2 linked regions of the Canis lupus familiaris genome follow. Each later gene encodes a partner of the first gene's protein in a complex. Links are inferred from orthologs where the notes say so. Each region holds a gene or a part of one and is shown on either strand. Other genes may lie near its edges. The genes, in order: CSF1R and CSF1.

Evidence for each region.
Region 2: the proteins of CSF1R (region 1) and CSF1 are in contact, whole or in part, in a crystal structure (PDB 3EJJ), measured with the Mus musculus proteins. The link is inferred for Canis lupus familiaris from reciprocal best matches to the Homo sapiens genes CSF1R and CSF1. Residues at the interface, in NP_001032948.2 of Mus musculus: Arg142, Arg146, Leu149, Arg150, Lys151, Lys168, Val169, Leu170, Ser172, Asn173, Val231, Gly232, Phe233, Leu248, Ser250, Asp251, Phe252, Asp254, Asn255, Tyr257, Lys259; in NP_001107002.1 of Mus musculus: His38, His41, Met42, Gly44, Asn45, Gly46, His47, Phe87, Gln90, Asp91, Asp94, Arg98, Asp101, Glu110, Arg111, Gln113, Glu114, Leu115, Asn117.

Annotation. Positions count from the first base shown.
Region 1 is NC_049225.1:59,905,542-59,909,352, forward strand, and holds part of CSF1R (macrophage colony-stimulating factor 1 receptor), read left to right. Parts: intron 1-1,238; coding exon 1,239-1,425; intron 1,426-3,811. UniProt on the Homo sapiens protein: Tyrosine-protein kinase that acts as a cell-surface receptor for CSF1 and IL34 and plays an essential role in the regulation of survival, proliferation and differentiation of hematopoietic precursor cells, especially mononuclear phagocytes, such as macrophages and monocytes.
Region 2 is NC_049227.1:42,498,018-42,501,828, forward strand, and holds part of CSF1 (macrophage colony-stimulating factor 1), read right to left. Parts: exon of another isoform or gene 3,576-3,811; intron 3,485-3,575; coding exon 3,362-3,484; intron 2,143-3,361; coding exon 2,080-2,142; intron 553-2,079; coding exon 382-552; intron 1-381. UniProt on the Homo sapiens protein: Cytokine that plays an essential role in the regulation of survival, proliferation and differentiation of hematopoietic precursor cells, especially mononuclear phagocytes, such as macrophages and monocytes.

The sequences.
Region 1 (3,811 bases):
AACCTCCACGGTAGGAATGACTGTGGTGTATTCAGGGCCTATGAGAACGCCCAGATGGGTGGAGCAATATGTGTGTGTGTGTGTGTGTGTGTGTGTGTGTGTGTGTGTGTAGGAAGAGGGGCGACAGCTAGACGGGCATAAAGAGAGACCTGATTGAGGAGAGCCTTGACTGCCAATCTGTATGGCTCCAAGGGGAGCCAAAGGGACTTAGGAGCAGGCAGGTAAAAGAGTGAGTTTTAGATTTCATAGACGAGTAAGGAGAAGAACCTTTAGAGATCATCTAGTTCCAGGCTTTTTGTAAAGTCTTGGGGGATTTGAAAAAGTATTTCAGGAGCTTCCGTGAGAGGCATGGAGAGGGTAAGTGGGGATTCTTGCCATAGCTCCTCTGCCTGAGATTCAACCAAAGCAACTTGATTTTAATTCATGCAAGATTTAATTAGAAGAAACAAGTCAGGACTTTTTCAGGCATAGGTAACAGAAATCAACTTGAGCTAGCCTGATCACAAGAGGATTTTATTGGCCTTATAGCTAAAAAGCCCATGGATCTGAGCTTCAGGTGAACTGGATCTTGGTGTTCAGTTGATATGGACAAGAACCTGTTGCTTCTTGCCTCTCAGCTCAACATTTTTCTTGTGGACTCCTTCAAGTATCAGGCTTGACAACCCCCTGGAGTTAGGGCTTCTCCTTTCCCAGAGCTCCAACAAAAATCATGGAAGTAAGTGTCAAAGGACCCAAGGGCTCATGTGCCTACTCTAAACCACTCACTGGTCCAAAGGGGACACACTACTTTGACTGGCTGGCCTAAGTCACATGCCCTCCTTAGAGCTAGATGTGGAAGCTTCACTGCCTGAACTATAACCAGAAGAAGGGGAAATGAGTGAGGGTGTCTTTGCATTTTGCCACTTTGATTTTTTTGCCACTGAAAAACTTTCAAAGGTTATACCAACACAAAATATTCAATCTCTTGGTTATATAAATAAGGAGGCAGAGGTAGCAAAGAGGATAAGAATTTGTCCGAGTTCTCCCAGGGGCTCAGCGAAGTGTTTGGGTTTCTGTGGGGCTGTGGTGGGAAGGGAGATGCCAGAGCATGAGTCTTGGTTAGGGGTGGGGGCTGCACACCTGGTGCACACAGGAAGGGTCCAGCTAAATGGCTGAGTCAATGGGTGGATCACCAAATGAGCAAATAAACTGAGACATCTTCCCAGCAATGCCAGATCTTTACGTGTTCTGCTTTCCAGAGAGTGCCTACTTGAACTTGACCTCTGAGCAGAGCCTCCTCCAGGAAGTGACTGTGGGTGAGAAGGTCGATCTCCAAGTCAAGGTGGAGGCCTACCCAAGCCTGGAAGGTTATAACTGGACCTATCTGGGACCTTTCTCCGACCAGCAGGCCAAACTCAAGTTTGTCATCACGAAGGACACATACAGGTACCACCTGTCAGCTCAAATCTGGATGGCCCCACAGCCAGAAGGGGAACACTTCAGCCAGGAAGCAGGACACTGACTGGGTCATATCTCAGCCTTGCTAGTGACCTGGATCAAATAAATCCCTTCCCTTTTCCGGGTCTCACTTTTCCTGACTATAGAACCTCAATATCAGTCATCTGTGTTTGAGACTTTGATAAAATTGGCTTGCCCCTCTGTCCCACATCCTTGGAAAATCCAATGCCCTCCTCAAGAGTTCTACTATTTCTTGGGGTGTGTATTCTCAGGCTCACTGAAGATTCTTTTTTTTTTTTTTCACTGAATAATTCTTAATCCCATTAATTCTCTTCTTTTGTGGCCAATCCAAATATAGAAGACAGTGCTTCATGATTTCTTTTCTTTTTCTTTTTTTTTTTTTTTTAAGATTTTATTTATTTATTCATGAGAGACACAGAGAGAGACACAGAGACACAGGCAGAGGGAGAAGTAGGCTCCATGCAGGGACCCCGACGATGTGGGACTTGATCCCGGGTCTCCAGGATCACGCCCTGGGTTGAAGGCAGCGCTAAACTGCTGAGCCCCCCGGGCTGCCCCATGCTTCATGATTTCTACTCCTAGACACCCTCCTAATAATGACTACACAGGCAATCTACCGCATACATGGGTTTAGGGGGTAGACAGAACTAGCATCACACAATCACATATACATCAAAAGTTCTTTAAAGGGCTCATTCTTCTCTACAGGCTCAAAATGCTTCTCATAAAGTGTCATCTGACTCCTTTTCCCCCTTCTTTCCACTTCTAGAATCTGGCTTATCTCCCAAACACAACATGTTAGAAGTCTATTTTCTGTCTCCTTACGACCTCAGGGTGTCACTTTCCCATCCAAAGTGGTGTAACCAGGTTGTCTACTACATAAGAGTCTCGTCTATAGGAGGAACACCAGTAGCAGGTGTTAAAACAATAGCTTCTTTACCCACTTGTGTCTGAACAAGAGTACGGCACTCAAGAACAGCAAGCATGCGCTGTGCATGCAACCCATTCCTATCCCACGCTCTTGACAGACTTCTCTATTCTACTGTCGAGCTCTTTCCCTCAGGGTCCCCATGCAGCCTGGGAGTCCTTGACACCATCTCCAGCCAGTATTTTCATCATTAATTGACTTAGGAGAGGAGACATATTTGCCATTATTTAGGGATTTGCTAGATGTTTGCTAGATACTCCCTTAGCCAACTTCTAACTCCAGAACTCTCCGGAGTTCTTTTTCTAGCTTCTGAAGCCCAGACTTCATGAATGCCTGGCTTCCAGCTTGCCAAATTTCAGAATCAAAACAGAACAAAATGTTCAGCAGGACAAAAATGTTTCCTTGTCCTCCTCATTTTTCTCCTCCCAGTTCCTTTCTCATCTATTCTGGTCAGGATTTCTAGCTTCTCCTTGTCTAAAGCAGAAGTTCTGAATCTAGAGTCTATAGACCCCTGGGAGGGGGTGGTCCATGGACAGGTTTCAGGGATCCATAGACAACAGGGACATTGCAAAAAAGAAACTCTGGAGATCCCCCAAACACGGTAGTGTGGGGTCATCCAGCACAGGGCAGAAAAACCTGGTCACCAAACAGCCACCAAACTGAGCTCATGTGATGGATGTGTTCATTCATGATGGTGACTTTGAGTCACACAAAAAAGTTAAATTCTTCCAGCTTAAGAGGCAGGTGTGTAGAGGGGTTCTGTATGCCTAAGGTCTAGCTGAATGAGATTGCCCTTTGAATACCATGGGTATTAGCCCAGTGTAATTTATAATGATATGCTGTAGTTTATTTTTAAAAAACATATCTGTTACCTAAACAGTGCATGTCCATAATGGACAAATGCTAAAATAGAGCTTAAGAAAAGAAAAAAAAAAGGAAAAATTATCTGGAATCAGCTGAGGATAACTTGTTATTTGCATTTGCTTCTGGGTCTTTTCTGTAACAAAAGGCACCATTAAATTGGTATATAACCGCAATCTACATTGAGTTGGGCTCTGAGTCAAGTACCCCGAATATATGCCCCTTTCGTCCCCAGGCCAAGCCTGTGAATTAATAACCATCAGTGTAACCCTCACAGAAAGGGAAGCAAAGGATCAGACGTTGAGTACCTTGTCTAAGATCACACAGCTAAGAAACAACAGCACAAGAACTTGAACCCTGGTTTCTGCAGCCCTGGGGCTACATCCTGCCTCTCATCCCTCTCACAGTCCCTCTTGGCAGGGTTGGTGCTTTCGGGGCTGCAGCTAACCTGGGTGCTGGTGTTTTGAGCAGGGACTGCTTAACCCAGTGATGGTGGTGTAAGTAGATACATTCGGGGGCTGGGGGGAGGGCTTTGATGTGCTTTCCAGGGTCGGCACTTCACAG
Region 2 (3,811 bases), on another chromosome or scaffold:
TAGTGCCCAGAACAGTACCTGGCACACAACAGGCACTCAGTAACTATCTGTTGAATGAATGAATAGTCCTCACGCTCTGGAATTCTATATAGTTGTGTCATTGTTTGTTTAATTGTTACCAGCCTCCCCTAACCCTAAGCTCCACGAGGGCGGGAACCATGTAGTTTTTGCTCACGAAGACATCGTCAAGGCCCAGTACTGTGTCTCCCGCATGGTATGTCTTTAGCAGAGGTGTGTAGGGTGAATAAATGAATGGGAGAGTGAGTGAACAATGACACGGGGTGAGAGGCAAGCAAACACACTCTGCGTGTATGGGCAGGGATGGTACCCCCAAAGCCACCCGAGGCTCTTAGAACTCAGTGCTCCCCAGGACACTCCTACCTTGTCCTGCTCTTCGTAGTCCTTCGTGAAGCAGCTCTTTAGCCTCAGAGAGAGTTCCTGGAGCTTAACGATGACATTGGCGTTGGGAGTATTGTCTTTGAAGCGCATGGTGTCCTCCATTATGTCTTGCATCAGGACAAACGCCTTCTTAAGGTAGCACACGGGATCTTTCTGGAAAACCAGAAACGGGAGTTGATGGTACGCCTGATGTGGTCTGAGAACCCAGGCTCTGTGACAGATGTCCCCAGTCCTGGCAGATGGAGGGCTGCAGCCTGCCTTACACCTGCCCCTGAGGTGAGGGCCAAGCCACTCTAGTATAAGAAGGGAGGTGCTGACCTTGGCTGCTCTTTCACTCTGTCTCTTTGGGATCTGGAATTGGGGTAGAGGGAAGGAAGTGGCGGCTCTGATTAGAGACCTCCTCAGATTTCTGGAAGATGCGGCTTTAATCAGAATGGGGGTGCATGGGTAGGGTGGGCTCTGGGGAACTGCTGTCTTTTTGCTTGCTCTCACAAAAGTCCTTCTAAACCTCCAGGCTGCAGGGGAACTAGAGGACACCAGAGGGGACAAAGAATAACCTCAGTGTTTTGTCTTCCCGAGGGATGGTGGTTGCCTCAACAGACAGCCTGCTTCAGCTCTCTATCCTAGTACCTGGCCCCATCATTTCTGCGTGAGTGATCGAGTGAAATACTGAGGTTAGTCTTTGGGCCGTGAGGTGGTCAGGGGGTCAGAAGCTCAGAGATGGGAGCCCCTTCTGGGTGCACCGCGGTGATTTTGTATATGGCACAAGGATGAGCCCATGTGCAGTAAGGGACAGGGTCCAGGCAGTTGGAAAGGCGTCACAGGCACGGGAGGAGCGTGTGCACAGGCTGGGAGGCAGGGAGGGGAAGGCAATGGCGGGGGCGGGCCAGGTGATGTGCCCCCAAAGCTGAAGCTGACCCAGCTGGGCTTTCTCCCCCAGCGAAGCTGAAGCTGACCCAGCTGGGCTTTCTCCCCCAGCAAGGGGGGCCAGAACAGGTTCAGGAGAGGAAGTGAAGGCAATAGGCTGGAGTTCCGAGAGCTCCCCCTACGGGCTAGATTATGGGTGCAACTGGAAGGGGAGAGGCCTCTTAGGAGGCGCTTGGCACTGTCCAGGCAACTGGTTGGGCAAGGCTGGGGCAGAACCCAGAGCTGCTGGGAGACAGAACAGCAGCTCACGGGGGCTGGCTGGGTGTGGGGTAGGAGGAGGAGGGAAAGGGCTGGACCGACTCCCTGGCTGCTGTGCTGTCTGTTGGATGGAAATGACATCCTTAAGCAAAGCATGTGACGCAGAAGGCCTATTGGTGTGCCTTAGGCCTTAGAGCCAGCCTGCCTGGGTTCAAATCAGGCCTCCACCACTTAGTAGCTGTGCTCCCTTACCCTCCCTGAGGACAATAACCAAGATTAGCAGATCACATAGTTGTACCGTCAGGATTAAATTAGAAAGTGCCTGGCACATAGTAAGAGCTTGATATGTGCCAGGGCAGGAGAAGGGAGCAGCAGGGGACTTGAGGCCTGGACCTTGCTCAGCCCCAGACCCTGGCATCCCAGGACTGAGAACCGGCAATCCTCCCACCCTCAAATCCTACCTGCCCAGGTAGAGGATTTCTACCCCCTCCGTGCTCCCACATATACCCACCTCGGAAAGCTGGCACCCGGGCCTTGTAAATAACCAGAACTCACCAATAGCTCCTGGTCTACAAACTCAAAGGCAATCTGGCACGACGTCTCCATCTGACTGTCAATCTGTAAGAGAGAGCAGGCCAGTGGTGGCAGGGTGTCTGTAGCTCCACTGGGCCCACCTAAGAATGAGGGCTAGAGTCCCTGGCTGGATCAGGCTTTGAGCCTCTTCTACCTTCCCACCAACCACACTGGGAAAGACAGAGCCAAGGGAAAGACTTGTGCCTCCCACATGCCCAGCGTGGACTGTAGAAGAAGTCTCTTCCTTCCACCTCCTACTCCATGAATCTGACAAAGACCAGTTAGTTATAAGGAAGAACTATCTCAGAGGATATTGGGCATAACCTTCCATGATAGGTAGTGAGCTCCCTGTCGTGGTGGGAATTCAAGCATAGACTAGACAAGATCTGGGGGTTCAGAATATATAGGGGCTGGGGCTAGATGTCCATCAAGCCCTCACTGGCCCCCCCAGAGCAGTGGTTCTGTGATTCTAAGGCTCAGAGAATGCTGTGGCTCTTGGTCTACCTGGGAGAGCTGTAGCAGCTGTGTGCAGGAGGAAAACCATAGCGGTAAGAGAGGCAGCAGGCCCAGCCTACAGGCCCCAAGGAGCTGGCCTTAGCCAGTGCTGCCCCACCCGGCCTGGCCGGCTAGAGGGACGGTAAATTCTCTTCTGAGCAGGACAGTGGCCATCATGGTAACCTGACTCTGCCTCCCTGAATCACATTTGGAATTGTTGACATCCCTGCCTGCCCAATTAGAACAAGGCACGGGCTCCTCCATGGCGGCCTGGGTGAGCAGTCCTTCCCAGCCCCGGGGCTCAGGCAAGAGCCAGGAAAGTGAGGGCGGAGGGCTGGGAGGTAGGCTGGAGCCTCCACTCCAGATCTGGCTGAGGCCCTGGTGCCAGGTTGGCGGCATATCTGGGAGTCCAGGAGTTAGAAGCAACATCTGGATGCAGCAGGCAGACACACTGGGCTGGCTCCCTAGAGGAAGCATCTCAGCGAGGGACTGCAGGCCTCACAAGCCTTTTCTAAGTCCATGGTTGACACCCTGGGCGATCATTAACCCAGGCCAGTGGCTGGAAGCCCACCCTGTCCATGGTCTGGACAGGCCCTGACCCCGAGAAGGTCACTGAGGAGAGAATCCGTGGGGCTAGGTGGGAGCCACAAACCACATCCTGCACAGCCATACCTCACTGCCTGCAACCCTTGCCTTTGACCCTGCTGCCTGGCTCCTGCCTCAGTTTCCCCAGTGAGGAGAAGGTAGACAGTCACGGCCCCACACTCACCAGCTGCTGGAGGAACTGCAGGTGCCCGTTCCCAATCATGTGGCTACAGTGCTCTGACACCTCCTCGGTAGTACTCCGGCTCGCCAGGAGAGAGACCAGCAGCAGCAGGGGCATCAGCCATGTCTATGATAGAGAGTGCGTCATTATTCCCAGCTCTCCGTCTCCCCAGGAACCCCCATGCCCTGAGGAGAGGGGAAAACCAAGGACCTCATACCTACAATGCTCCAGGTTCTGCCCTTTACCCCAGGATGCAGTGGTCCCTGAATCCAGCTTTCTCAAGATTTCCTCACTGGCATGCACTGTCTTGCTCTCCCTTGACAACCCACATGTCATCTTCTTCAAGAAGCCTTCCCTGATTAACCCAGGCCAAGCTTGATCCCACACTGAACTTCTCACGAGGATATGGAAGGTGTTCCTACCAGTCTAAATTTCAATTACACAGGACACTCC